7 linked regions of the Oryctolagus cuniculus genome follow. The protein of the gene in region 3 interacts with the protein of the main gene of each other region in a biochemical or structural test. Links are inferred from orthologs where the notes say so. Each region holds a gene or a part of one and is shown on either strand. Other genes may lie near its edges. The genes, in order: MAGI3, PRDX1, PTEN, SLC25A3, NHERF2, MAGI2 and CSNK2A2.

Evidence for each region.
Region 1: the proteins of PTEN (region 3) and MAGI3 form a complex in vitro, tested with the Homo sapiens proteins (2 studies listed by BioGRID and IntAct, with this or other methods). The link is inferred for Oryctolagus cuniculus from reciprocal best matches to the Homo sapiens genes PTEN and MAGI3.
Region 2: the proteins of PTEN (region 3) and PRDX1 form a complex in vitro, tested with the Homo sapiens proteins (2 studies listed by BioGRID and IntAct). The link is inferred for Oryctolagus cuniculus from reciprocal best matches to the Homo sapiens genes PTEN and PRDX1.
Region 4: the proteins of PTEN (region 3) and SLC25A3 form a complex in vitro, tested with the Homo sapiens proteins (2 studies listed by BioGRID). The link is inferred for Oryctolagus cuniculus from reciprocal best matches to the Homo sapiens genes PTEN and SLC25A3.
Region 5: the proteins of PTEN (region 3) and NHERF2 form a complex in vitro, tested with the Homo sapiens proteins (2 studies listed by BioGRID and IntAct, with this or other methods). The link is inferred for Oryctolagus cuniculus from reciprocal best matches to the Homo sapiens genes PTEN and NHERF2.
Region 6: the proteins of PTEN (region 3) and MAGI2 form a complex in vitro, tested with the Homo sapiens proteins (2 studies listed by BioGRID and IntAct, with this or other methods). The link is inferred for Oryctolagus cuniculus from reciprocal best matches to the Homo sapiens genes PTEN and MAGI2.
Region 7: the proteins of PTEN (region 3) and CSNK2A2 form a complex in vitro, tested with the Homo sapiens proteins (2 studies listed by BioGRID, with this or other methods). The link is inferred for Oryctolagus cuniculus from reciprocal best matches to the Homo sapiens genes PTEN and CSNK2A2.

What each region holds. Positions count from the first base shown.
Region 1 is NC_091438.1:56,692,869-56,696,368, forward strand, and holds part of MAGI3 (membrane-associated guanylate kinase, WW and PDZ domain-containing protein 3), read right to left. Parts: intron 1,891-3,500; coding exon 1,788-1,890; intron 638-1,787; coding exon 511-637; intron 182-510; exon of another isoform or gene 1-181.
Region 2 is NC_091438.1:127,373,074-127,376,573, reverse strand, and holds part of PRDX1 (peroxiredoxin-1), read right to left. Parts: intron 1,006-3,500; coding exon 852-1,005; intron 561-851; coding exon 438-560; intron 330-437; coding exon 199-329; intron 1-198. UniProt on the Homo sapiens protein: Thiol-specific peroxidase that catalyzes the reduction of hydrogen peroxide and organic hydroperoxides to water and alcohols, respectively.
Region 3 is NC_091446.1:42,726,683-42,730,182, forward strand, and holds part of PTEN (phosphatidylinositol 3,4,5-trisphosphate 3-phosphatase and dual-specificity protein phosphatase PTEN), read right to left. Parts: intron 1,823-3,500; coding exon 1,598-1,822; intron 1-1,597. UniProt on the Homo sapiens protein: Dual-specificity protein phosphatase, dephosphorylating tyrosine-, serine- and threonine-phosphorylated proteins.
Region 4 is NC_091442.1:101,540,601-101,544,618, reverse strand, and holds the end of SLC25A3 (solute carrier family 25 member 3), read right to left. Parts: intron 3,236-4,018; coding exon 3,056-3,235; intron 2,519-3,055; coding exon 2,337-2,518; intron 2,007-2,336; exon of another isoform or gene 1,761-2,006; intron 1,694-1,760; coding exon 1,521-1,693; intron 1,048-1,520; coding exon 937-1,047; intron 843-936; coding exon 682-842; 3' UTR 501-681; downstream 1-500. UniProt on the Homo sapiens protein: Inorganic ion transporter that transports phosphate or copper ions across the mitochondrial inner membrane into the matrix compartment. Mediates proton-coupled symport of phosphate ions necessary for mitochondrial oxidative phosphorylation of ADP to ATP.
Region 5 is NC_091450.1:33,196,704-33,200,841, reverse strand, and holds the start of NHERF2 (Na(+)/H(+) exchange regulatory cofactor NHE-RF2), read left to right. Parts: upstream 1-1,338; 5' UTR 1,339-1,388; coding exon 1,389-1,601; intron 1,602-3,288; coding exon 3,289-3,489; intron 3,490-4,138.
Region 6 is NC_091434.1:144,051,635-144,055,886, forward strand, and holds the start of MAGI2 (membrane-associated guanylate kinase, WW and PDZ domain-containing protein 2), read right to left. Parts: upstream 2,801-4,252; 5' UTR 2,326-2,800; coding exon 2,025-2,325; intron 9-2,024; exon of another isoform or gene 1-8. UniProt on the Homo sapiens protein: Seems to act as a scaffold molecule at synaptic junctions by assembling neurotransmitter receptors and cell adhesion proteins. Plays a role in nerve growth factor (NGF)-induced recruitment of RAPGEF2 to late endosomes and neurite outgrowth.
Region 7 is NC_091449.1:41,552,430-41,556,664, reverse strand, and holds the start of CSNK2A2 (casein kinase II subunit alpha'), read left to right. Parts: upstream 1-1,435; 5' UTR 1,436-1,581; coding exon 1,582-1,685; intron 1,686-2,439; coding exon 2,440-2,551; intron 2,552-4,235.

The sequences.
Region 1 (3,500 bases), on a different chromosome or scaffold from region 3:
TTTACATTTTGAAGAAAGGCTACTTTTATAGCTGCAAGAAATAATTCATACTCTCGTATGCATCCTGCATCGTGAGGAAGGAAGATTAGTTTGGGTTTGAGGGTTGTTTTTGTCAATGCCCCTAATGAATCTGAAGATTTACACATCTTCCCTACTAGTTGGTCAATGTGCAATGGAACACTCAGGAAACAGAGATTTAGAAGGTGCTTCCTCTAACTAGATTTTGACATTTTCCTGAAAAAAAAAAAAAAAAAAGTGACTCCTATTTTGTTTAGTTAAAATACTATTTACTTCTAAGGACTTAATTGAGGGCTCAAATTTCTTCTACTGGAAGAGTCAACTTTTCTCTTTACAATCCTTCATGGAAGATAACTGAATGTGAATACACAGCCAGGTAGACAAGCACTATTTTTGGAACAAATTTCTGAACTGATTTGCACTAAGCTTTCACCCATAGCACTAACACAGCAACTCAAAAGTTTGGTCTGCATTTGGGGGATCCTGGCTCACCTGATTGTGCCGACTGCCCACGACGGAGATCACGGCGGTATCAGGTGGGGTGAGGTGCTTGTGGTCAGACCAGGAATGTCTATAGGGAGTGGAGACATCTTTTCCCACTTCACCTTCCAGGGCACTTCTACAAGAGAGAAGTCAAGTCACTCTTGTAAGTGAGAAAATGAGAATCATTGTAAAAGTAAAGGCAGGTTAATTTCTTGTCTTTGAAAAGCTAAACGTTGCCGTTCTCCTCTGACAAATCACTATTGGCTCACTGTGTCCGGAACCAGGGCTGCTTGAGAAGCCCGGCCTTTAACTCCCAACCCAGCCCACGTCTGACGCCAGCACTGTCTTTCTCAAGGGCATCTCAGTGCGGTTTCCCACCAAGGAAAACTGCACTCAGTAGCTGAACAGAGGGCAGAGAAGCTGACCTTGTCACAGTGAAAAACAGCTTTCCTGCAGTTGCTGAGTTTCTGGAAATCTAGTTTTTGTTCCATGGCTGTGTTTGAACAAAACAGGAAAGAAAGATGCTCTGCTCTGCTCTGCTCAGGCAGTCTGAGACGACAACCCAAGCAGATCTGCAGATCTTGAGTTTTCAATCTTTTTTTTTTTTTTTTTTTTGGAGGAACTTTTTTTTTTTTTAAGATTTATTTATTTACTTGAAAGTCAGAGTTACACAGACAGAGAGGAGAGGCAGAGGAGAGAGAGAGAGAGAGAGAGAGAGAGAGAGAGAGAGAGGTTTTCCATCCGCTGGTTCACTCCCCAATTGGCCGCAACGGCCGGAGCTGCACCGATCAGGAGCCAGGAGCTTCTTCTGGGTCTCCCACGCAGGTGCAGGGGCCCAAAGACTTGTGCCATCTTCCACTGCCTTCCCAGGCCATAGCAGAGAGCTGGATTGGAAGAGCAGCAGCTGGGTCTTGAACTGGCGCTCATATGGGATGCCGGCGCTTCAGGCCAGGGCGTTAACCCGCTGCACCACAGCGCCAGCCCCTGGAGTTTTCCCATCAAAACCATAATGAACAAGAGCAGCAGAAGCTGAGGCTGCTGTCACTTCTTTCCACCTTCGTGCAACTCTCATGACAGGATAATCGCACCGCGCCTGGGAAGGGGTTGAGGAGAGGGATGGAGACACTGGGGGAAAGGGAATAGTGAAAGTATTTGAGGGTGGAACCTGCCAGAGTTCTTATGTTGACCTCAACAGCTGGCTTTCACATTAACAGCATGGGAGTTGGGGATGCAGTGGGTTATGAAGATTGGGGAGATCAGGAGCGAAAATCTAAGAACAACCTCACCTGTCCCCAGGTGTGTGGTTGGCCTGTGACTGTCCCATGGGCCTGTGTTGCAGTGCTGGGCTCTGCCGGGCTGAGTTTGTTCCTGATGGTGGACCGTGATGTTCTGTTCAAATGAAAAAACAGTAGAAGTAAGAACGGATACAGAAAAGCATGCGGCCAACAGGATCTATCAAAATGAGACAAGCAGCTGTGAGCCGACTCTTCAGGGAGAGCAGCATGGCTGGCAGCTGTCCGGAACTGGAACATTAACATCTTTCCCACCTGGGCTTTTGATTAATGCTTACAAGTCACAAGAACAGAAATCATATTCTTACTTCCCACTTTCATTTTTGTTTGGCTCATCCATACAATATAGAAATTAGAAATGAACACACTCAATTACATTTATCTAGGAGACAGAGTCCATGACCCATTATGCAGCCTGCTCTGTGACTTCCCAGAGCACACCAGTGATAATTGGTGATCCATTCTAGATAACAGAGCTAGGTTCCAAGAGTGTTGGTCTGCCTCATAGAATGGCAGATGTCCTAAACAGCACTCTGGCCTCAGAATCAGCCCTTAACGCATTCGGGTCCAGCTAAAAAGCCCATGAGAGTATTTCAGGCATGGAAAGCCAAGACACTCCGGCAAAAACACACACACACACACACACACACACACACAAAACCTAAATGAAAGATCTCTGTGAGATCTCAGCAGAAAGAACGGGCCATCAAAGAAGCAAGTACCTTTCTCTGAAGGGAGGAGAAAACTTCTACTTTGACTATGACCTTGTCTAAATAAGAGTGGAGTTGGTGAACTCAAAAGGCCTCCATAGCCTTGGCAACTCATGACAAGAGCCTCAGGTGATTACTGATGCCATAAATTGGAGTGTCAATTGTTAAATCAACAACAGGAGTCACTGTGCACTTACTCCCCATGTAGGATCTCTGTCCTTAATGTGTTGTACTATGTGAATTAACAGTATAACTAGTACTCAAACAGTACTTTATACTTTGTGTTTCTGCGTGGATGCAAACAGTTGAAATCTTTACTTAGTATATACTAAATTGATCTTCTGTATATAAAGATAATTGAAAATGAATCTTGATGTGAATGGGATGGGAGAGGGAGAGGGAGATGGGATGGTTGTGGGTGGGAGGGAGGTTATGGGGGGAAAAGCCGCTATAATCCAAAAGCTGTACTTTGGAAATTTATATTTATTAAATAAAAGTTAAAAAATAAAAATATAAAAAAGTAAGCATCCTGAAGGCAGGGGTTTTTGTGTTTTGTTTGCCCCTATACCCAGATCAGTACCCAGCAGATAGTAGGCACTAAGTATCTGTTGAATAAATGGCTGAACTGCTAACAAAGTGAACAACAAAGCAAAAGAATAATTCACAATCATGCAGGGTTTATGTTAGAAATTCAAATATAGTTTAAAAGTAGGAAATCTATGTTGGCACCTAGAAGAATACTTGGCACAGGCATGGCAGGCTCAAGTACTTCAAAATCTAAGAGAAGCATTGAAAACTTTTAGAATGAATGAGAATTAAGCACTGAAAAATTAATACTAATAAAGCATATGGTTGGATTCGTTCATTTTCTATTACTATAACAAAATACCTGAGGCTGGATAACTTGTAAAGAAAAGTGTTTGGGGCCGGTGCTGTGGCATAGTGGGTAAAGCCATTGCCTGTGATGCTGGCATCCCATGTGGGCACTGGTTTGTGT
Region 2 (3,500 bases), on a different chromosome or scaffold from region 3:
GGACAGAAATGGAGAATAAGCAGTTTGAACAAAAAAGCCTTTATCTTCCCCAAGCTTTTCCATTGCTCCCCATCCCCATAATCCACTGTAATCCAGATATTTCAATTTGTTAGAGGCATAATCACCCTTTCCTTCTTACAGTGTTTAGTAGTCTTTGCTCCTATCATCTTTCCCACCCTATTACCACTCTGTGCTTACCTTCCCCATGTTTGTCAGTAAACTGGAAGGCCTGAACTAGTCTCAGAGTCTCATCCACAGAGCGGCCAACAGGGAGGTCGTTTACAGTGATCTGTCGAAGGATACCCTTATCGTCGATGATAAAGAGGCCCCTGGAAGAATGAGAGACGCAACAAAAGGTTTACAATAAATAAGAGAATAAATGGCTTTCAGCCAACTGGATAATGCTGATCACCCGCCCCCCAGGAAGGTACACAAACCTGAATGAGATGCCTTCATCAGCCTTTAAGACCCCATAATCCTGGGCAATGGTGCGCTTAGGGTCTGATATCAAGGGAATGTTCATGGGTCCCAGTCCTCCTTGTTTCTTGGGTGTGTTGATCCTACAAAGGCACACGTAAGGTATGACCATTCATGCAAACTTTTGCATAGTAAGATTAACTCTACTTATTTCTTCCTCTTTCCCATATTCCTAATCTAACTTCCTAAAAAACTTCAAATATTTTGTAGCAGTAAAGTGAATGGCTGAGAACATTTAAGGTTAGTCACCGGGTGTACTCAGCTGCTTCTCCTCTGCTGCCAGGTAATAAAAGAGCAACAAAGGAAGGCAGAACCATTGCAGTCCTTCCATGAAGAGCTGGAAGTCAGTGAACTCTACATGCCAATATACATACCAAGCCAGGTGACAGAAGTGAGAATCCACGGAAGCACCAATCACTTGGCAGTTGAGTTTCTTGAATTCTTCTGCCCTATCACTGAAAGCAATGATCTCCGTAGGGCACACAAAGGTGAAATCAAGAGGGTAAAAGAAGAACACAATATATTTTCCTGGGGAAGGAAAGGAAGTCCTAGATTAGCCTTTTAAGCACTCTTCCTTGATTCAGAGAGAATAAAGCAGACATTTTCCTATGGAAAAAGGCTTTTTAAGTTGATGAAAGACAATAATTGTTAAAACACTAAGATGCTTGGGGTAGGTGTCGTGGCACAGCAGGTAAAGCTTCCACCTCCAATGCCAACACCCCACATAGCTGCTGTTTCAAGTCTCAGCTGCTCCACTTCCAATCCAGCTCCCTGCTAATGTGCCTGGGGAATCAGCAGAAGATGGTAGTCCCTGGGCTCCTGTCACCCATGTGAGAGACCCAGAAGAAGCTCCTGGCCCAGCTCTAGCCACTGGGGAGTGAACCAGCAGATGGAAGATTTCTGTTTCTCCCTCTCTGTATGTAACTCTTTCAAATAAATACTTTTTAAAATATGAAAAAATAAAACAAGATGCTCAATACAGATGTCTCTCAGCAGCTCTTCTAGAACTGCTGCAGCAGGAGGACCCAAGTAAAAAATGCTCCTTCCAGTTCCACACCTTATTCTGTCTCCTCCATGTTCTCACAGCTACCAACTACAATATAAACACTAATTTTGATCTTCTCTGAGTGGTTAAAATTAACACCAAATTTTCCAAAGAAAATCAAGGATACAATTATCAGCACTGGGTGGCCTAACTCCAGTGCTGACAAACAGTGCCAAGCGAATTGCTGGTGTCTCCTCTACTGCAAGGTGGTTATAAGAACCCAGGCCCTCTACACTTCTCTGCAATGGATAAACTACAGTAATGGGATGGTTAACTTTAAATGATTACACGAATCACAAGAAATGTCTTCTTAAAAAACCTAATAGAGGGGCCAATGTTGTGGCACACTGGGTTGAGCTACAGCCTGCAGCACTGGCATCCTGTATGTGTGCCAGTTCAGGTCCTAGCTGCTCTGCTTCTGGTCCTGCTCTCTGCTGGTGCGCTGGAGAGGACAGCAGAGGGTGGCCCAGGGTACTTGGGCCCCTGCACCCAAGTGGGAGACCCAGGAGAGACTACTGGCTCCTGGCTTCAGCCTGGCCCACCCCTGGCCATTGCAGCCATTTGGGGAGTGAGCCAGCACTCCCCAAAATTCTCCCTCTAATTCTGCCTTTCAAATAAATCAATCTTAAAAAATATTTCCTAAGAAGGAAGTTCCAAAAGTGGAGTGGTACAGTGGATCACTTGCCCTCTCACTTGAGAAATTCATAAATCCTATCAGAGGACTGAAGACTGCGAGGCAGATGCCAGCTCAGATACTTGAGTTCCTGCTACACCCAGGAGATGCAGATGAAGCTCCTGGCTCCTGGCTTCAGTCTGGCCCAGCCTTTGCTGTTGTGGTTATTTGGGGAGTGAACCAGAGATATATCTCTCTTTTATTTGAAAGGCAGAGTTACAGAGAGAAGAGGTATCTTCCATCCACTGGTTCACTCTCCAAATGGTCCCAACAGCTGAAGCTGGGCCAGACCAAAGCCAACAGCTTTTTCCAGGTCTCCCAAGTGGGTGCAAGGGCCCAACTATTTGGGCCATCTTCCACTGCTTTCCCAGGCCCATTAGCAGGGAGCTGGATGGAAACTAAAGCAGTTGGGAATCAAACCAGCACCCAGATGGGTTAAGAGTTCCACAGGCTTAACTCACTACACCACAGCACTAGGCCCAGATTCGTCTCTCTTGATTTCTGTCATTCTGCCTTCTAAATAAATCAATCTTAAAAAAAAAAAAAAAATGTTCCAAGAGCACTGATAGGGAACAGGGCTTCTAGCTCCAATTTTACTGAAAGTCACTCAGATTACAATTTAAGCAGATATTCCAACTGGCCAGGCAGCCTCTCACTGCCTAATGGGCTGAGCTACTGGAACAATTTCAAATATTCAGTTATTTCCAGGTGGCAGCAAAGTCTGAAAAGTCTTAACAAGCAGCCCTTGACATTCACTCTGGAAAAAGAGTAGAAACTGACTCAGCTAAACACCTTCTCTAGGGCTTTGTATTAACAAGCACTTTGACGCCTCAGCAGGTCAAGCCCTAGGGAACTGGAGAGCAGCTCCTGCTACTTGTCTGCACCCTTAGCAAGGTCCCCTCCCTATGGTGCTATTCACCTGGGTCAGAAGCTGCTGACCCCTGCACAGAAAACCCCATTACGTGCTCTCACCCCAACAACCAAGTATGATGTTCAAGGGACCTCATCAAATGTTCTACCCAAAATCCAACTCTAGGAACTGATGACACTACCCTACTAAGAAGGGCACTCCTGACATGTGCATTTCAGGATTCTGTTCTAAGGTATCTACATACATCCTCAATCGCCCCAGGAGACCCAGCTACTCTGGGAATTCAAGGCAAGGCAATCCTCCAGAGAACTTGCCAAGAGTCTGCAAGAAACTGACAGAAGGAGGAGTTGTTCCAACTTAATTCTTCTCTAGGGCAAAATAAGCAAGGGAAGATGTCCTCTGCCTAACAATATGTTATTTTTTTTAAATACTTA
Region 3 (3,500 bases):
TCCTCATCTGTCCATATTTTATGGGAGTAGAGCCAATGTTTAAAGATAAAAATTTAGACCACACCAGTTCTGTGCTGAAAAATATTTCGATATTTTCACACATGGACTGGTTTTCCTGTCTACTCTCCTTTAGCCACTGACTTTTCATTTCTCAAATAAACTAAGCTACTCCTATCTCAAGGTTTTTGCATCTTCTCTTCTCTCTTTTCCCTGATACCGGTATATCTCATTCATCTGAATTAGGGCTTCCACTTAAATGTCAACAGTTTGGTGAGATCTTCTCTAATCAGGCTAGCCAAAACAAATAAAACCAATAAAAGTACTCTCTATCTCATCTCTATTTTTCACAGCATTTACCATGATATATATGACAATACACTGGTTTACTAAAAATAGTTTTTGTAATCACAAATATAAAACCTCTTGAGGTATTAAAACAGAAAACTACAAAACCAAAGCAAAAAAGACATTTTAAAAGTTAATGGGGGCCGACACCGCAGCTCACTAGGCTAAACCTCCGCCTTGCGGCGCCAGCACACCGGGTTCTAGTCCCGGTCGGGATGCCGGATTCTATCCCGGTTGCCCCTCTTCCAGGCCAGCTCTCTGCTGTGGCCCGGGAGTACAGTGGAGGATGGCCCAAGTACTTGGGCCCTGCACTCCATGGGAGACCAGGATAAGTACCTGGCTCCTGCCATCGGCAGCGCGGTGCGCTGGCCGCGGCGGCCATTGGAGGGTGAACCAACGGCAAAAGGAAGACCTTTCCCTCTCTCTCTCTCTCTCACTGTCCACTCTGCCTGTAAAAAAAAAATAAATAAATAAAATAAAAATAGCCAAAGGAAAGAAAAAAATGGTGAACTATTATTTGGGAATGTTTACAAGTCAGATTTTTTAATCTGAAGAATTCACACCTATAAATAGAAGTACACACACTCAAAGACACACATACATCACATACAGACAAAAATGAAACAAATCAATTAATTCTAACACATAATATGAGGAACCAGAGAGGAATCTGAGAAAGAAGTAGCAGGGGAGGACAATGAGAGAAGGCCTATATGAAGGTAAGGGAAAAGACTAGGGTGGAAAGGTACAGGAAGAAGGAAAAGAACTGGTAAGACCAGAGGCAGAAACAGTATTTGCAAGAACTGAAGCCACACCACTATGACTAAATCCCAGAGAGCATAAAAGAATATGGATAGAGGTAACAAAGGAGGCAGAACCACACTAAATTATGCAAGTACCTAGTACGTCTTTTAAAAGTGTAAAAAAGAGTGAAAGAAGCAAGCCTATTTGTGAGCAGCAGTGAACAAATTCCCCCATTTCTACTTCATAACCCATTCACTTAACTCCCCTCTCACACCTCTGTCCCAGATTTCATCAAACAACAGGAGAAGGAAACACGCAGCTCCTTTGACTCTTTCTGTATCCTGATATTTCATTAGAAACATTCAGGTTATTGTTTCATAAACATTGCTTCTAAACAATACATCATTTAATTTGAAAATCAGTCAGCCAAGTTCTTCATCTGCACACCTGGAATAAAACAGGCACGTATGCATGTAACCACTGACTCCACAAAGGGTTATTAACTGACCTTAAAATTTGGAGAAAAGTATCGGTTTGCCTTGTCTTTATTTGCTTTATCAAGATCATTTTTTGTTAAAGTAAGTACTAGATATTCTTTGTCGTTATCTGCACGTTCTATACTGCAAATACTATCAATTTCTTGATCACAAAGACTTCCATTTTCTACTTTTTCTGAGGTTTCCTCTGGTCCTGGTATAAAGAACGTATTTACCCAAAAGTGAAACATTTTGTCCTAAAAAAAAGGAAAGAAATGTCTAATTTTAAATTTTTGTTGGAGAAAAACATGTCACCTATATTCAATATCTGCCCCAAGAAGTCAACAAAATTATGCATCGTTTGATATTCTTCATAAAGGTAAACAAAAACACTACTACTATACGCCAACCTGCAGGTACCTGTTACATTGATTCATTTGTGTTTCTTTTACTCAAACTGTAGATAATAGCTAAGAACGACCTTAAAGTCTTATGTAAAATAACTTCTATCTACTCTAATACTAGCTTTAGAAATGTGTACAGTTACGTGTAGGCATAAACAAAAATCAGGTATGATTTAATTTTCTTTATGATTTAATCAGCTATCTAATCCAAGATTTATTTTAACAGAAGTTCCTGGAAATTAAGTGCAATTGTCTGATTAAACAGCAGATTTATTTCACAGTAATACAAACACAGTAACTTCAGTTTCTTACATGACAATGTATGCCTGAAAACCTTCAGAATAAAAGACGCCGGGGTGAGGGAATCTTTTGATCACTTTTTCTTCTAAAATGACTATTCTAAAAAAAATCACTTCTTGGAAATAATATGAAGGGACAGGCACTGTGGTGTAGCAAGTAAAGCCACCACCTGCAGTGCTGGCATCCCGTATGGGCGCTGGTTCAAGTCCCAGCTGCTCCACTTCCAATCCAGCTCTTTGCTATGGCCTGGGAAAGCAGTGGAAGATGGCCCAAGTCCTTGGGCCCCTGTACCCACATTGGAGGAGGAAGCTCCAGGGTCCTGGCTTTGGATGGGCCCAGCGTCAGCCATTGCAGCCATTTGGGGAGTGATGGAAGACCTATCTCTCTCTCTGCCTCTTCCTTTCAAATAAAGTAAATAAATCTTTTTTTGTCCTGGTTGCTCCTCTTCCAGGACAGCTCTCTGCTGTAGCCCGGGAGGGCAGTGGAGGATGGCCCAAGTGCTTGGGCCCCGCACCCGTATGGGAGACCAGGAGGGAGCACCTGTGTTCTGGCTTTGGATCGGTGCAACGTGCCTGCCGTAGCAGCCACTTGGGGGTGAACCAACGGAAGGAAGACCTTTCTCTCTCACTGTCTAACTCTGCCTGTCAAAAAAAAAAAAATTATTTTATTTATTTATTTATTTGAAAGGCAGAGTTGCAGAGTGAAAGGTCTTCTATCCACCAGTTCAGTCCCATATGGCCACAACTGCACAGATCCAAAGTCAGGAGCCAGGAGCTTCCTCTGGGTCTTCTTCGCAGGTGCAGGAGTCCAAGGACTTGGGCCATCTTCCACTGCTTTCCCAGGCCATGGCAGAGAGGTGAATCGGAAGTGGAGAAGCCAGGACTTGAACCAGAGCCCATATGAGATGCCAACACTGCAGGGGGCGGTTTTACCCGCTATGCCATGGTGCTGGCCCCCTTAGATCTGCTTTAAATGTTCACACTTAATATTTTAAACAAGATAGTCTATTTTACAATGAGCTCTTGAACTTTTCTAAAGAATATAAAGTACAAACTGCTCTTTCTAAATGCATATTAAAATAAACTCCATTTTTTCACTCCTTATTACTTCCTATTCATACTTATTTCTCTCTAATCAAAAAACTAAATCTTGGGGAACTAAACATACAATAACCCATTTCCAAGAAATATAAACCAAAATGGAGAAAAGGAGTCTGTGTCTCTACACAAAA
Region 4 (4,018 bases), on a different chromosome or scaffold from region 3:
TAGGACTTTAGGACATGATTCCTAAATGTACAAAGAGACAAAACTTGAGACATGATAATTTGTGAATAGGGATTGAAATATTCAACCACTGATGGTTAGCTTGAATTTGTACCTTGAATTTTTACACTTGGGTTCTTTCAATCCTGTTTTAGGATTAAATCTTTTAATAAAAACCAGTGTTTGGTTTTTTTATTTACTTTGCAAAGTCAGAGTCTTCCATCTGCTGGTTCACTTCCAAAATGACAACAGCTGGGGCTGGGACAGGTCAAAGCCAAGAGCTTCTTCTGGGTCTCCCACGGGGGTGTAGGGGCCCAAGGACTTGGGTCATCTGCTGCTGCCTTCCCAGGAGCATTAGCAGGGAGTGGATTGGAAGTGGAGCAGTCAGAACATGAACTGGCACCCATATGGGACGCTGGCATTGAAGATGATGGCTTAACCAACTCTGTGCCATGGCACCAGCCCCTAAAAACTAGTTTTTAAAATATCACGTCACAGACAAATCATGAACAGATAGGTTTATTTCAACAGTAAGTTTGAAACTCTTGCCTTTAAGCAAGGGTACTACAGTAATTTTATCAGGAATAGACAATATCCTACACTGTCAAATATATAAAAGTTCCTTTTGCACTTTTTTCAACACTGATCAACAAGCAGATTCAGTCCACATTTGCTTCGATCTATCTACTGAGTCAACCCAAGCTTCTTCTTCAGAGACTCTGGCATCTCAGGTGGAGGGGGGCGAGGGAGTCTGAAGTAGACCTTCACAGAGTCATAGATGAACCACTGTAGTGCAGTCAGAGTACCAATCATGATGATACGGGCAAAGAGTCCCTTCCATACACCTGGATCAAACAGGAAATATGAATGTAGGCATGCCATATACCCAAAACCAATGTTCTTCACAGGAAATTAAAAAAATAATAATAATAATCCTACCTTTAAATCCAAGTCTCTGGAGAACCTGAGACGCACTACTACCTTTCTCTTTATTTAACACAGATACCACAGAATCAGCAGGGTGAGAAACAATTGCACAGAAGACTCCAGCTGGGGGGAAAAAATGATTCAATACAGGGTTAAAAAATTTCACACTACAGACAACTGTCTTTTTTTCATGACTTCTTTCCTTTAGTTATAGAATCATTTAAAGATTGGCAAGGTTATAAAGCAGTCTATGCTATGTAAAAACAACCTTTAAGTTTTTAATATGACATTTTAATCAACACTTCTTCCTGCATTAAAAATGTATTCTTAATAAGCTAAACAAAACAAAAAATGCTACAGTAAAAGAAACACATTCCCACGCCTAATAATGACATTATCACAAAATTATCAGGCAAACCTGAAAGCAATCCTTACAGGAAATAATTAGAAAGTACTTCTTAATCCAGAAGGTACATAAAATGTTACAGGAAATCAACTGACTTTATAACCTTTGGAATATTTTTTCCTCAAAGAGGTCAACATGGAAATTATCTGCCCATAATTCTACAGACAAGTGTGTTCTAAAGAATTCATACCTATGTAACCTGCCACAAACGTTACAACCAGCTGTTCTGGCTTTGAACATTCACTTCGGGGCTTAGGAACCACAAACTTGTACAATGCTTCAACAGTACGTTCAAAGCAGGCAAACTTCATCATGGTGTATGGTATCTGTCTCATCCAGAGAGGAGCAACGCCCTTGTAGAATCTAGGTAATGAAACTTAGTTACATGGTTGCAAATATTCATATAGCACCGAGTTTCATCATTAACAGAAGTGTCCGCACACCAGCCTAGTCCTGATAGTGAAAACTGACAGCATTACTGCATGTCATTTCTATCAGAACATTAGACTAACATGCAGGTATATTTATCTCACATGCCAATGACTCAAGCACCTTTGACTATACAACCAAAAAAGTTGCTGGATGTTTCTTTAACTGGAACTACAAGAAACAAAAAGTTTACAAGTAGAACTCAGTTTAAGATTCATCCACAAAGGTGGATCTAAGGAAGCATGTTGTGGCCTTATAGCTAGATTGCAAGAATTTTAACAAGTCCTCCCCCCAAATTAAAAAAGTACATGTTTAGGTCAAATATCAAAATCATTTGCAGAGTAACAAATGGTTCTTACTTGAGAGGAAAAAAAGTTAATTCAGGACATGAACCTTGTATTAACTTATCTTACCCCTAGAATTTATGGGCCACCTACAGGTAACTAGAAGTTAAATAACATAACTTTAAAAAGACCTACAAAACACTCTGGTGAGCTTACTGCCAAAAAAAAAAAAAAAAAAAGTTACCCCCAAAAAGTATTTTTAAAACTATAAATTTAGTGAAGTGCTTACTTACGCTTTTAGACCTTCTTCCTTATACATTTTGGGAGCTGCATCCCTCAATGTGTTGGCATAACCTGGCTGGGTTTGAATTCGAACCTTAGTAGCTTCCATTGGAGCCAGGGCAATGTCAGCAAAGAATTCAGCACTAGCAGAGGCAGCCAAATATAGTGATGTGCGCCACAGATAGGCATTCTCCTAAAATACAAAACATAAGGAGACATATGAATTGTTGCATCTGTTTAATTTAACTTTAATTAACCATTCTAGGAAACCACTAGGTTGTCAGCCATTTTAACAGTATTTCTTACCACACAGTCCATGGATAACACACATTACATTAGATGTTGTTTTCAGTTTCATTAACTTAACTATACAACAATGTGAACTTTTTTTGAACATCTATCTAGGTGTCAAGTACACGTGTAATTGGCACTGGATCAAAACAAATGAATACCTAGGACCTTCTTTTAAGGAAAAAAAAAAATCAAACTCAAAACTCAACTTAGGCAAGTGACAAAGTGTAATACAAAAGGCACTGAAATTTAGTGAAATATTGTTTCTCACCCTATCTCTGACAGCAGTCTTATGATTTCAGGCATGTTGCCCATTCTTCCTGGGACCATTTCTCCAGTTGTAAAACATGGTGAGTCACACAAAAGTAACTAGGATCCTTTTTGATATTTAACTTTTAAAAACACCCAGGACTTTCAATTTCAAAGTTAAATCACATACCTCTCCAAGCATGTTGCTGTACAGGACTTTGAAGACTTCATAAAAGCCAAACTTGCAGAGCCCCTGCATAGAGTAGCCAATGAAAGTCGGAGCCCATCCTTTAGCCAAACCACGAACACCATCCTCTTTAAGTGTAACTGAGAATCCATTAAATATGCCCTTGTACTTCTGAGGGTCCACCTTTATTTAAAATAAGAAAACAAATCAATTAGCTGTACTTTTCATACACAATTACATTACTACCAATTTTTCTTTTAAAATAAAATTTCAGTAACTACACAAAAGGTCAACATGAATTCACTGAATATCTAATAGCTTAAAAAATATATAAGTATTTATTAAAGTCTAGCTCTGAATCAAACTAGGTCTTGGAGGGATAAAGAGGGTAAAATTCCCTCAAAAATATATAACAAAACTGAGGCCGGCGCCACGGCTCACTAGGCTAATCCTCCGCCTAGCGGCGCCGGCACACCGGGTTCTAGTCCCGGTTGGGGCGCCAGATTCTGTCCCGGTTGCCCCTCTTCCAGGCCAGCCCTCTGCTGTGGCCAGGGAGTGCAGTGGAGGATGGCCCAGGTGCTTGGGCCCTGCACCCCATGGGAGACCAGGAAAAGCACTTGGCTCCTGGCTCCTGCCATCGGATCAGCGCGGTGCGCTGGCCGCAGCGCGCTGGCTACGGCGGCCATTGGAGGGTGAACCAACGGCAAAGGAAGACCTTTCTCTCTGTCTCTCTCTCTCACTGTCCACTCTGCCTGTCAAAAAAAAATAAATAAATAAAATAAAATAAAAAATAAATAAAAAAATAAGTGAATAAATAAAAAATATATAACAAAACTAAAGAGATTTATCACCAACTCCTACATTTTAAAATCTATAAAAAGATACGTCTGTATCCCCAGTATATGGTAATCCGTTAGAATTAATGTTTTGTGAACATTAGACAAACTAAATACAAATTTATAAGGC
Region 5 (4,138 bases), on a different chromosome or scaffold from region 3:
CACACCCAGGCTCATTTCTAACTTCCCACCTAACACTTCCTCACCCCTCAAACAATGTGGCCACAAAGCTACAGCCTGGCAGGTACTGGGCGCTGCGGGGTGGGGGCACACAGTGGGCGCAGGGTCCAGGGTGCCAGCTGCAGCTGGACAGGCGGGTGGTCAGCCCAAGGCACCGACCCTCAAGACCTGCAGAGGTGAGGGTGGGGGCACCCACGATGCCACGAGCTCCTGGAGGTGGGCACCCAGGGGGCCACGGTGTGGGTGGGGGCTGGAGAGCCCAGGCCAAGAGAACTGGAGACGGGAGAGCAAGGGGTGAGGACTGGGGCCCACCTGGGAACTGTCTGGACTGCTGCGCCCCACCCCTGGGGCAGGCATGGGCAGGGGTCCCTGCTGGGCTGGGGCGGGGCAGGCCAGGCCGCCTCAGGCCTCAGCCGTGAAGGCTGCAGGCTTGGGCCGCACAGCCCTGGGCCTGGGGGAGGGGTGCTTCCCTCTGTGCCAGTAAAACTGCACCTGGAGAGGCCTGGCCAGGCAAAGTGCTGCTGGCGGTTGTCAGCCGCAGGGCAGGGGAGGCGTGGCAGAGGCAGGGGGCAGGTGCCAGAGACCTCGGCTCAGGTGTGCCGGTGCTGACCACAGAGTACAGAGGCCAAAGTCTCGGGGCAGGAGGCCAGCCCCCGACCGACCCTGCAGCCTGGGACTCCAGGGTCTGCCGGGGCCTGGGGTAGGCCTCAGCCAAGTGCGAGAATGGAGGGCCGACCTCTAGGGAGCCCACGGGCACACAAAGCCCACCCTGTCACTACGGCCTCCAGGGGCCTCCAGGCAGGTCGTGGGGCTCTGTGCAGGGCAGCCCTGGCTGCGGGAGGGTCCCGGGGGTGAGGGCAGTGGCTGGGGAGCAGGTGAACCGTGCGGGTGGGCAAAGGACCGCCCAGGGAGGGCAGGCAGGGCCTCACTCCGGGGCCTCCCTGGGGGTTCTGCCTGGGGCCACTGTCTCCCACCTGGCCCCCAGCTCAGGAGCCGGCTCTAGGCCCTGCACAGGAAGCCAGAAGCGCTGGCACCAACGTGCTGCCAGACACAGGGGTTCCCCGGCCCTGAAGCCTCCCCTCCAGAGCCCCTCGGGCAGCTGGGGCCGGGAGGCAGGGCCAGGCCAGCGCGTCGTGGACCCGGGGCGGGGGCGGCCGGGCGGCGGGGGCGGGGAAGGGGCGGGCGCGGGGGCGGTGCCCCAGCCCGAGCCGGAGCCCGAGCCGGAGCCCGAGCCCGAGCCCGAGGCGACTGGAGCCGAGCGAGCGCAACGCCGAGGCGGCCGCCCGTCCCCCGCGCCGCCCCCGCGCCCCGGCCTGCGGGCCCCGTAGCGCCGTGGCCAGCCCGCGGCCGGCCGGTGGTCAGCGGGCGCCATGGCCGCGCCGGAGCCGTTGCGGCCGCGCCTGTGCCGCCTGGTGCGTGGCGAGCAGGGCTACGGCTTCCACCTGCATGGCGAGAAGGGCCGCCGTGGGCAGTTCATCCGGCGCGTGGAGCCCGGCTCCCCCGCCGAGGCGGCCGCGCTGCGCGCGGGGGACCGCCTGGTCGAGGTGAACGGCGTCAACGTGGAAGGCGAGACGCACCACCAGGTGGGTGCCGCGCTGCGCCCCGGCCGGCTGGGCGCTGCCTGCGGGTGGCGGGCCCCGCACCTCCCCCGCGACGCTCAGCCCCGCACCGCAGCGCGGGGGAAGGCGTTCTGGCAGGGAGGGGCCGCACTGCGGCTCCAAGCCGGCCCTCGGCCCCCTCCCCCCGCCTGGCTCCAGCCTGTGTGTCGGTGAACCCGGGTGCTTCCTGAGCCTGTGGGACTGTGTGACCGCGCAAGGCCTCCGGGGTCCTGCCCGTGTGGGTGCCAGCAGCCAGGCCCCTGCGCGTCTGGGCGGTGTAGACCGGCCAGTGTGTCTGCAGCCGGGGTGCCTGGATCCGGTGCGAGTTGGCAGTCCCTGGTGGCACATTCCATAGCTGCTGCGACCCTCACCCTCCTCGGGGCGCTGTGGCCACTGCCCCCTGCTCCTGCAGCTGGAGAGGGTAGGGCCTCTTCCCTTGCAGGCTGTAACCCCTGGGATGTCCGTCTCCCGCTGGCCAGGGACTCACCTCAGATCCTGGCCAGAGTCCAGCCTCCCTCCGGACCGGCTGCTCCGGCTGCTCCGTGTCCCTCACAGCACCGCTGAGCCTGTGGCCTGTCTACGTGGCCAGTACTGGGCCTAGGGGTTAGCAGACAGCTGAGCCACTGGCCGGGCTTCCCGGGGTCCCCTAGCCTCTGTCTTCCAGCGAGACTGGAAGCTGGGTAGAGCGGTGCTGTGTGCTGAAGTGCAGTGGGGGTCAGGGCCACAGGTGGGGGAGGCAGGGCTGGCAGAGCTGGCACCCCGCCTCTGTGTGACAGCCATGGCCATCCTCGCTCCAGCTGCACCTGCTGTTCCGGGCCCCTGGGCACTTGTCTGAGAACTTCACACCCAGCCCCAGCCCCAGGAGGTGCGGCCGGGACTCTGCTTTACAAATATGGAAACTGAGGCTTGGAGCTTCAGTTTGGGTCACAAGTCGGGGAGCAGGGCCGGGCGAGGACGGGCCTGGCTCGCTCCCCCTGTTGCTTGACAGCATCTGGGGAGCTGGGCAGCAGGTGGGAGCCTTCTGCTCCGCTCTTCCACAGGCCGAGGGCCATAGTGGGCACTGCCCTCTCCCTGCTGGCACACGCTGGCACCCTGTGTGCTCCCAGACACACAGCGCCTGGAACGCCGCACCTGTGCCACGGGCAGACCTGCCCCTCTCCCCGCTGTCCTCCTTACCCGACCGTGTGCGGGGGCCTGAGCGGGAACCCAGCTCTCAGCTGTCCGCAGGCCCAGCAGGAGTGGGTCTGTGGTCTGCAGGCAGACGGTCTGTGTCTAGGGCAGGTTGAGATTCCCGTGAGAAAGTTGAAAGCAAGCGAACATGCACAGCCAAACTAACACCCGACAGCACCTCCCGCCTCCAACCTGGGCTGGAAGGCAGACTTGGAAACAGATGGTGCGCACACACGAGCGTGTGCACACGCACGGGCAGACCGAGCCCCTGAAGCTCATTCAGTGCCGTCTTGGTCACCTCCACCCTGGGCTGAGAGCAGCTCAGGGCTGGCTGTGTCAGGGAGCCGGGGGCGGGGGGCGGAGCCGGCGGGGCCAGCCGCCCACCCCTGGCAGCCTGGCTGCCTGTCTGCCTGCCAGCCCAGGCCATCCCGGAGTGGTGCCACCGTCCACGTGCTGCCCGGGCTGCCGGCCGCTGACCTGCCCCCGTCCCTGCCTGCCCCAGGTGGTGCAGAGGATCAAGGCTGTCGAAGGGGAGACCCGGCTGCTGGTAGTGGACAAGGAGACGGACGAGGAGCTGCGCCGGCGGCAGCTCACCTGCACCGAGGACATGGCCCAGCGAGGGCTCCCGCCCGCCCACGACCCCTGGGAGCCAAAGCCGGACTGGGCACGTGCAGGCAGCCTGAGCTCTGACGCTGGCCAGAAGGTACGGCAGCCTCTGCCCGTGCGGCCACCCTGGCCTCTTGACAAGTCTTCACCCCGCCCCGGCTGCCTTCTGGGTCCCTCTTCTCTCAGTCCGAGTTCCTAACTGGGGGTAGACAGGACAGCTCGGCCCCCTTCCCGGCTCGCTCTCTGTCCCTGCCCTTAGCCTGGCCCAGGGCGACGAGGCCCTTCCTGCCCGGTGGGCGGAGTCACCGGACCCTGGGAAGGAGCGAGCCTGGCCCCTCAGCAGCGTCTGCGTCTCTGTCTGTCTGTCTGGTCTGAGTGTAGGGTGAAGCCCTCGGAGAGAGCTGGCCCCAGAAGCTGCTGTGCGCAGCCTGGTTCAGGAAGCTTCTAGGGCGAGCCCACCCTTCCCCCAGTCTTCAGCAAAGACCCCCCAGCCGCAGGAGGGGTGGGGACCTGGAAGTAACCCTGCGGGGCAAGCATGTGAGCCCTGGGGAAGAGCCGTCTCCTACCTCTTTGGTTGACCACATCCCTTGGGGGGTTCCGCCTAGGGGTTCCCCAGATTCCGCTTTGAGAACCCCCGGCCTGGGGGCAGTGGAGGTATTGGGCCTAACGTGTGGGGTGGGCGGGGGCCTTCACGTGGACCTTTTTCCTTTCCCACCCTCTCCCACCACAGCTGGCTGCGCTGTGAG
Region 6 (4,252 bases), on a different chromosome or scaffold from region 3:
GTTTTTTTTTGTCAATAGTGATTCAAGGGGTGAATCAGGTTCCCGTGGAGTCTCTGTGAACATAATTTCAAGAACCTATCACCAATTAACCAGTGAAACCTGGAACTGAGCGGTAACACAGAACGTAAAGATTTTCACTTAAATATATTACTACCTACGTATGTATTTCCTGAGTTATAGAAGTAATAGTATTCCAAATAAAATACAGAAGTTGAGAGAGTATCTTAGGCCAAATCATGGAGGATTTTAATGCTATCTAGCTCATGTGCCCATAAACGGTCATTTTGGCAACCGCAATAATGGGAGCCTCAACTTACGGTACTGCTCAGATTTCTGGAAGGTCCTAACAGAAAACGGATCCTTTAATGAATGCAAAGATAAAGATGCTCCATCTTTTAAATGTTTCCCTGTTTTCGTCTTAGTTTTGTCCTGGGAACTATTACAGGATAGCCAGAATTTCCTTTCTTACCTGGTATCTTTCCAATATTTAATAACTGCTTTCATACCCTTATTTTTCCATGTTGTCTTTCCCCTGAATTTCATAGAATATATGATACCAAATAATTCCCTTATTTGCGTATTCTTCAGCGTCAGGCAGTCATCGTGATGACTTAAAATCAATGTTTCCCTTAGCCTCCGTTCTACTAATACTCAAGAATCCCCACTGTCATTGCCTTGTGGGGCAATTAACACTTCAGAAACTTTGCCGGACTTCTTTTTCTCTTGTTTACCTTTAAACAAGTGTTTTTGCAGAACCCTTTTCTAGCTAGGAACATCCCCTTAATAGTGTTTCTCTGTAGTTGATCATGCCAGGGGATTAAATGGTCGTTGAAAACGCAGGCAATAGCAGGCTTGATTCCACCTCTGAGGGTCAAACAACATCAGGTGGACAGCCACCCTCCAGACTGACACGAGAGCGCTCCCCTACACACACACACACGCTGCCCTGGAAACGTCCACTGAAGCTGGGAAAAAGTGTGCAACCGCGCGAGGAAAACAGAGATCCACTTTATTCTAGCTCAAACTGCCCTCCAGCCAAACTTGCATCGCAGTCTTTCCTCCCTCAGGACCACAATTTTCTTGCGAGACACGAGAGAGTTACTGAACAGAGTTCTGCAAGCATCCACACACGACACAGCCTTCCGCGGAAGCCCATCAGAGTCAGCCTGGAGCTGAAGGCGCCCGAGCTGCAACCAGCGGCATCCCCATCCCACTGCTCCCCCTCAGAAACACGCCCCCTCCAATCCCGCGGGCAGGGGACTCCCACCCCGCCAGGGCAGCCCCCAGCACGGCGCGCTCCAGGCAGCAGCCCCGCGCTCGCCCGGGGCTCCCCGAGCGGCGCCCGCTTCCGGAGCCTCCTCCCGGCGGCCGCCTGCCGGCCGAGGGTGCGCGGTGGGGTTAGTCAGTGCGCACGTGACGCGCGCGGTGCCCACATGACGCCACCGGGGCGGGGGAGGGGGCCCGGAGGGTGAGGCAGGGAAAAAGTTACAGAAGATCCGTCAAAGCGCCCCAAGCCATGCGTCCCTTCCCTGCATCGCCAGCCAGTGGCACGGGGATCCCCCGGGGGACAGTGGTAGGGGGAGACCTCGGCGTCTCCAGGCCCGCGCGCCCCACCGCCCTCTGCTCCTCAGAGCCCCGCTGGGGATGCCGCTGCACCCTCCAGTTGCCTCTTCCTCTTTGCCCCTCTCCTTCCCTCCTCCTCCTCCTCCTCTCCTTCCTTTCTCCCATCCCCAGATCTCTTCATCCACTGCGGGCGATGCCACTGACGCACATTCAATTGGCCTCAGGAGGTCAGACCAGGCCAGGCACCTTCTGCAGCCGGGGGTCTCAGTACCCAAACAAAGTTGCACTTCACCTCGCAAGCCGCACTAACCCCTCCGCGCAGCCTCCCGGAGGACCTCGGCGGACCCCACCCCAGCGGCGCGCCACACACCCCCTTCCTAGGCGCGCCCACCCTGCCCTTCGCCCCGCCGCCCCCCAGCCGTCCCGCCGGCGGCGCGGCACGAGCCGGCCGCGGCGCTCACCTTGCTTGACACACTTGAGCCGGAGGGGGTCCTTGCAGTGCTTGATCACGGCCAGCACGTCCCTGATGGTGAGCCCCGCCACGGGGGTCTCGTTCACCTCCAGCAGCAGCTCCTCCGACACCAGCTTGCTGCCGCTCTCATAGGCCACCTTGCCGGGCTTCACCTCGCCCAGGTAGGGAAACTGTCCGTTCTCGGCGCCCCCCTTCAGCTCGAAGCCCAGCTGGCCCTCCGGGTTCCTGCCAATGACACTCTCGTGGACTTTGCTAGTCCAGTGGCTTTTCTTTTTCAAGCTTTTGGACATGGCAATGGGCTGGGTCGCCTCAGTTCCAGGGGCTAAGGGGCTCCTTTGGAGGGTTGAGGAGAGGGGCTGATAGGGGCGCGAACAGGGATGGAGGCACGGGAGGGTGGGGGGGGCACGGGGGTGAGGAGAGCAGACTTCGCCTTCCTCCCAGCTCCGCTCGGCGCTTTGCCTCTTCTTGGGATGGAGTGTGGACGAGAAACGGGGGGGAGGATGAGAGAGGGACGGCGGGGCAGAGGTGGGAGAGCGAGGGTGAGGTGGTGCTGTCCCTTGAATGACACTCAAGGCTGTGGCCCCGCAGCAGAGGAAGCTGTGGCGGCGGCGGCGGCGGCGGCGGCCGGAGCAAACCGAGCGGCGCTGGGAGCCGGCGCGTGGGGGTGGGGCAGAAGGGTCGGGAGCCGGGGGCCACTCCTGCGTGGTGCGCGGGGCGCGCGCGCCGGCTGTGTTGTTAGCGGATATCCATGGCAGCCGCGGCGGCGGGGCCCGCGCGGGAGCGCGCGTGTGTGTGCGCGCGCGCGCGTGTGCGTGTGCTTGTGTGTGTTGTACTGTAAGGGCTGAGGGGAGACGGCAGCAAGGCCCAGGAGGAGGGGCGCTTCGCCGCTGTCGCGCTCGCTCGCTCCCTCCCTCGGCAGCTTGACCCGGTAGTGAAGGCCGAGAGAGGGAGAGAGAGAGAGAGTCTGGGTCTCCCTGGCAGCCTGCGGGAGGAGGCGGGAGCCGGGAAGGAGGGGAGCCGAGGCCCGCTAGGAGGAGGCCGGCGCGGACCTAGCTCGGGGCTCTGTGGCAGCCCCCGGGCCGCGCTCGGCCGCCGCTGAGAGAGCTCGCGGACCCGCGCGGCCGACGCGTCCGTGAGGAAGTGCCGGGACGCGGCTCGTGGTGGCCGAGGAGAGGGGAAGGAAGGCCTGGGAGCTCCGCGCTGCTAATCTGGGACTCTTGGACTCTGGGCTTTCACAGCCACATAGTCCGTCGCGGAGCCCGAGCAGGGCAGAATCAGGGAGACGGCGGCTGCTGGGCCGGACCTGCGGGCGCAAGGCGAAGCAGCTTCACGTCCCCAGGGCAGCGTTTAGGCGCGGGGGCCGGGCTTGTCCGCTGAAACGCGGTGCTGGGGACCCCAGGGTTACAAGGGCTTGACTTTCCCGCTTAGCAGCGACGGAAAGCGAGGGGCTGCTGGGCTGGTGCTGCAGGAGTGGAAAGGTGAATCTGGGACCTGCGGCGCAGGGTGGGTAAGGACATACCAGTAGGACTGGTACTTGGGCAGAAACCTTAAGATGACCTGGCCCGAGAAGCCAATGCTACCGAGAAAGGAGAGCAAGCGCCGAGGCGGGGCTAGTAGTGGCAGAATCAGGGCGAGCCCTGGGCTGGTTGGGCTCCATCCGGAGCTCTCCTTGCCTTGAAGTTTGCAGCCAAGAGGAGAGGTGAGGGCCAGGGGGGCCCCAGGATGCAGGTGCGCTGCTGATGTTCGTGTGCGCCCTCATTTCGCGCTAGACATTAGGAGGATCTTTTTTCTTAATTCCTGTAACTGGTAAATGAATTTCAATTTGCTTAACTTTCAAATGAGATGTTTCAGACACACACAAAAGTCGCACACCCACTCATGTCTTTAAAGCAGAGTCTGAAAAGCATTGGGCTGTGAAGGTTCTTGATGTCTGAGATGAAGGAAATGTGGGAGGCAGGCAGTTCAATTTCAAAAATAAAAAAAGGTTCTGTCGACCCAAACAGAAAGACCAGGTTTGAATCCCTCCTCTGCTACTTAGTAGAAGTGTGAACTTAACTAAACCAATTGACCTTTCTAAGCCTCCGTTTCTTTTATTTGGTAAATCAGGTTAAAAATACTAATCTGAGAAGGGTGTGTTGAGGTGAAGTCAGGTAAAACATGCACGGTGCTTGCCAGCAAAGGTGGGCAGGGTTCAGAATAGAAATTTCCTTTCTCTTT
Region 7 (4,235 bases), on a different chromosome or scaffold from region 3:
TGGCCATAAAGGTCAGGGCTGGCCTAGGCGAAGCCAGGTCTCCCATGTGCATTCCAGGGGCCCAGTGACTTGGGGGCCACCTTCTGCTGCTTTCCCAGGCTCATTAGCAAGGAACTGGATTGGAAGTGGAGTAGCTGGGACTCAAACTGGTGCCCAAACGAGAAGCCAGTGTTACAGGTGGTGGCTTAACCTTCCACACTGCAATGCTTGCCCTGGGTCTTTTTTTCTTAAAGATTTAGTTTATCTGAAAGGCAGAGTCACAGACAGGAGGAGATGGAGGGAAGGAGGGGGAGAGAGAGAGAGAGAGAGAGAGAGAGAGAGAGAGAGAGGCAGCCAGGACCCCAACCAGAGTTCATGCGGGATGCCCAGGCGGCAGGGTAATCTACAATGCTGAACTCCATCAAGGGCCTTATCCAGGAAGCAGCATGAAAAAGGATGGGAGTCAGAGCTGGCTGGCTGGGTGAGGGGCCGCTAAGAGTGGGGCAGAAGGGGGAGCCAGCCACAAGGAAGACCCAGAAGATGCAGGAGAGAAGAGAGTTCAGGGCTAGAAGGCACAAAACAGGCCAGACTGGCCACCCCAGCTTAACCAAGTGACCGAAGTGGACGTTCAGAGAAGGCTCTGGAAGAGAACGTGGGGGACGGTGTAGGAGAGGGGTTTTGTGGGGAAGACTTGGGATGAAGGAGCATGGGGTCTCAGGACAAGGAGTCTGCGAGTGACAGAGCAGGGTCCACAGCGGGGAAAAGGGATTAAAACACACACACACACACACACACACACACACACACACACACACACGAGGGGAGGGGACATCTTGAGGTGGGGGAGGTTCTGCGGTTGAAGAGTGCGTCACTGGGGAAGAGCGGTTGGGTAACAGGGCTATCAAGACCGGGTACTGCGGGAGGTCTTGGGGTGGGTAAGGTCTGGATGACCAGAGGTGACGGTCTTGGGGTGGGCGTCTCGGGGTCAGTCCTCAAGGGCTCAAGGGCAGCCGACGGCAGGCGGGGTGGCCCTGCGGGAGAGACCCGGCCAGCCCCAGGATGCGGAGAGCCCGACCGGCGCGCCGGGGCGGGGGGCGGGGCCGGCACCGCCCCGCGGGTCCCCCCACGCTGCAGGGGGCGCTGTGAGCCTGGGCGGCCCCGGGCTGGGCGGCGGCCGCTCCTAGTGAGCGCGGCCCCTTTTCCGGGTTTCCTCCGCCTCCTCCTCCTCCTCCTCCTTCTTCGCCGCTGCCCCTTTCCCGGCCGGTGGCTGCCGCTGCCGGTGCCGTCGCCGCCGCCGTCGCCGCAGCCGCCGCCGCCGCCTGGGGGCCGCGAGCCGAGCGGAGGCCGCCGCGGAGCGCGAGCGCCGCCCGCCCCGCCGCCCCGCCGGCTGCTCCAGGGCCGGGCCGGCTCGGCCGGCGCCCCCCGCGCCCCCAGCCCGCCCGCCCCCGCGGGCCCGGCCTGGCGCGGCCGCCCGCCGCCGCGCTCCTCCTCCTCCTCCGGCGCCCCGCGGCCCGCCGCCTCCTTCGCCCGCCGCCCCGCGCCCCCCGCCGCGCCGCCGCCGCCGCCCTCTGCGCCCCGCGGCGCCCCCCGGTCCCGCCCGCCATGCCCGGCCCGGCCGCGGGCAGCAGGGCCCGGGTCTACGCCGAAGTGAACAGCCTGAGGAGCCGCGATTACTGGGACTACGAGGCTCACGTCCCGAGCTGGGGGTAAAGCCGCCGCCGCCGCCGCCCCCCGCCGGGGCCTCTCACCCCCACCCCCGCCGGGCCGCCCCCCGGCGCAAACCGCACTCGGCCCCCGCGATCTGCCTCCCGCAGGCCGCTCGCCGGGGCAGGGCTGGGCTGGGCGGCAGAGGCCCCCACCTCGCACATGTCCTCCTCTTCCTCTTCCCTCACCCGCGGCCGTTCCTCCCCCGCCCCCAGCTTTGTGCACCCCTCTTGCCCCTTCCCTCCGGCGGGGGGGGGGGGGGACCAGGGCCTAGCGCGGAAGGGAGGCAGCAGCCGCCCCTCAGGCTGGGGGTTTCTCTCGGGGTGGGGAGTCAACAGCTGTCTTCTATGAAAATGCGCTGCTTTTTTAGTTTTCTGACACGAGGCGGGGTGGGGGGGATTTTTTCGAAAGATGTGCAGATTCTCAGAGCTGGCGCTGGCTACCTTCGGGGTGTGAAATAGGGGGCAGGTGCTGTGGAACCGCGGGCAGGGCGGAGTGCTCCCAGGGTCTGCGAGATGGATGATGGACTCAGAGCGTCTACCCCCAAGTTACAAGGGACCAGTTAGGTTGGGAGCCCTGCAGAGCAGCAGGAGCCTGGTGTGTGTTGTAGCTTTCATATAGGGACTGAGTTGCAGCATGGATTATAGACACTTCCAAGCGCTTGGTTCGTGGAAGTGGCCGGCCGGGGCGTATCGTGGGCATAGGCTCGGCGGACCCCAAGGCCCAGCATTTATGTGTGTCTTTTGCCTCTCACAGTAATCAAGATGATTACCAGCTGGTTCGAAAACTTGGTCGGGGAAAGTATAGCGAAGTATTTGAGGCCATTAACATCACCAACAATGAGAGAGTGGTTGTAAAAATTCTGAAGGTGAGTCTCCTATAAGTGGTTTGTAACTTTTTCCCCCACAGGCCAAAAGGACGTGAGTTACCCGAGCCTCGTTTCTAGAACGAGCTGTGCCGGCTCTTGCGTTATGTCTCTTCTGTCCAGGACGCCCGGATCCCACCCCGTTTTCCTTGGACTTAAGAAAACACGCAGACCGGCCTTAAATCTAAGCAGAACGGATCAGGAACACCCTTGTTCTAAAATGTAAATTAGAGGTTCCCAAAGCAAAAATCCCAAAAGGGCCCCATTTGTTACAAAATAAATAAATATTCAGAGGGAAGAAAAGCCTTTTCATGGAGATTCCATGGATCCGAGGGCTCTTTGAGCGCTGTGTTTGTTAGTCCACAAAGAAAGTTGGAGAAAATTGGAGCCAAGGGGAAGGAAACTCCTCGGGGTGATAACCACTTGTTTCTCCTCTGACAGTGAAGTTTCAGGTGGGACAGCTGAGGGGCGCAGGGAGTGCTGGGAGCCCTGGAGCTGCTTATCAGCTAGTAAAACTGGAGTTAGAAGGCACTTTTAATCACTCAAGCTGTTGGAACAAAACTGTCTGATGTCTGCTTTCGCAATCTTAAGTTTGATGATAGGCCTTCTGTTATCTCTTGAGTGAAGACGTAATGAGCCTGAAGAGTTGGCTTCAGGTAACTGTGTGGCTTTAATAATGTTTTACTGGGTGTCCTGCAAAGTTGTTCTTAGAAGCTGTCATGGGTCTTCATTATCGCCAGATCCCTGAACGTGTGTTTGGAGAGGGTCTGTGGCGGGGGCTGTGGGGCTCAGAAGCTGCCTGTGCATGTCAGGCTGTGCGGGGAGGCCCTGTCCTCTCAGGCCGGGCTCAGGCTTTCTGGGAGCCGCCTCTCAGAACCGTGCCCAGCAGCCTCGCTCAGTGCTGTCCTAGCCGGTGATGGAGGAGCAGGATTCTGGTAGAGAGAAAGCGGCAGAGGCCGCTGTGCCGTCAGACGCTGGGCACATGAAGTGAGGGACGGGTGTTAGGGATTTGCAGACTGGCGCCCCCTCCCCTGAATATGAGCCACCAGTGAAGTCCCAGGGCCTCCCCCCACCCCAACAAGCATAAATATGTGAAGAAATGGTGTTCCTTCAAGGCAGTCACCTGGGGAGGCCATGTAATTCCTCTGTGTACATAAGCAAAATGCTTTACTGCAGGCTGCTTTGACTTGAAGCAGAGCTGAAGTTGGAATTAGAAATAGCCGTATTCCCCAGCTGTCTGTCTGGAAGAATGAGTGCTGACTCTGAGGCAGTTCCAGAAAAATGTCTAAACTTTGGTGCAACAGCAGCATTGTTAGAGTAAGTGCCATTTCCTGTGTCCTCTTTGAACGGCGCAGCGTTCAGGTGTGTGTGTGAATGCCTGTCTGTCCAGGAGAGCATCGCGTTGCTCCTGGGTCATCCTTGCACAGCACTTCCTGGTGACTAGAGAGTTTTTCCTGTTCTCTGAAGCGTGCTGGGATGTTTTAGGGAACTCAATATGAAGACTGCCACAGGTGGTTTTTACAAAGGAGAGGCCCAGGCACAAAGAAACTCAGCCAGCTCACCACCAGCACTGCTGCTCCCTGCTTTTCCCTCTCAGCTTTCTTCGGCGCTGGATTGCGGGATCTTCATGTTGCGCCCAGAGTAAGTTCCAGTGTTCTGGAATGAGCTCCGCAGGCCCCTCTGGTGT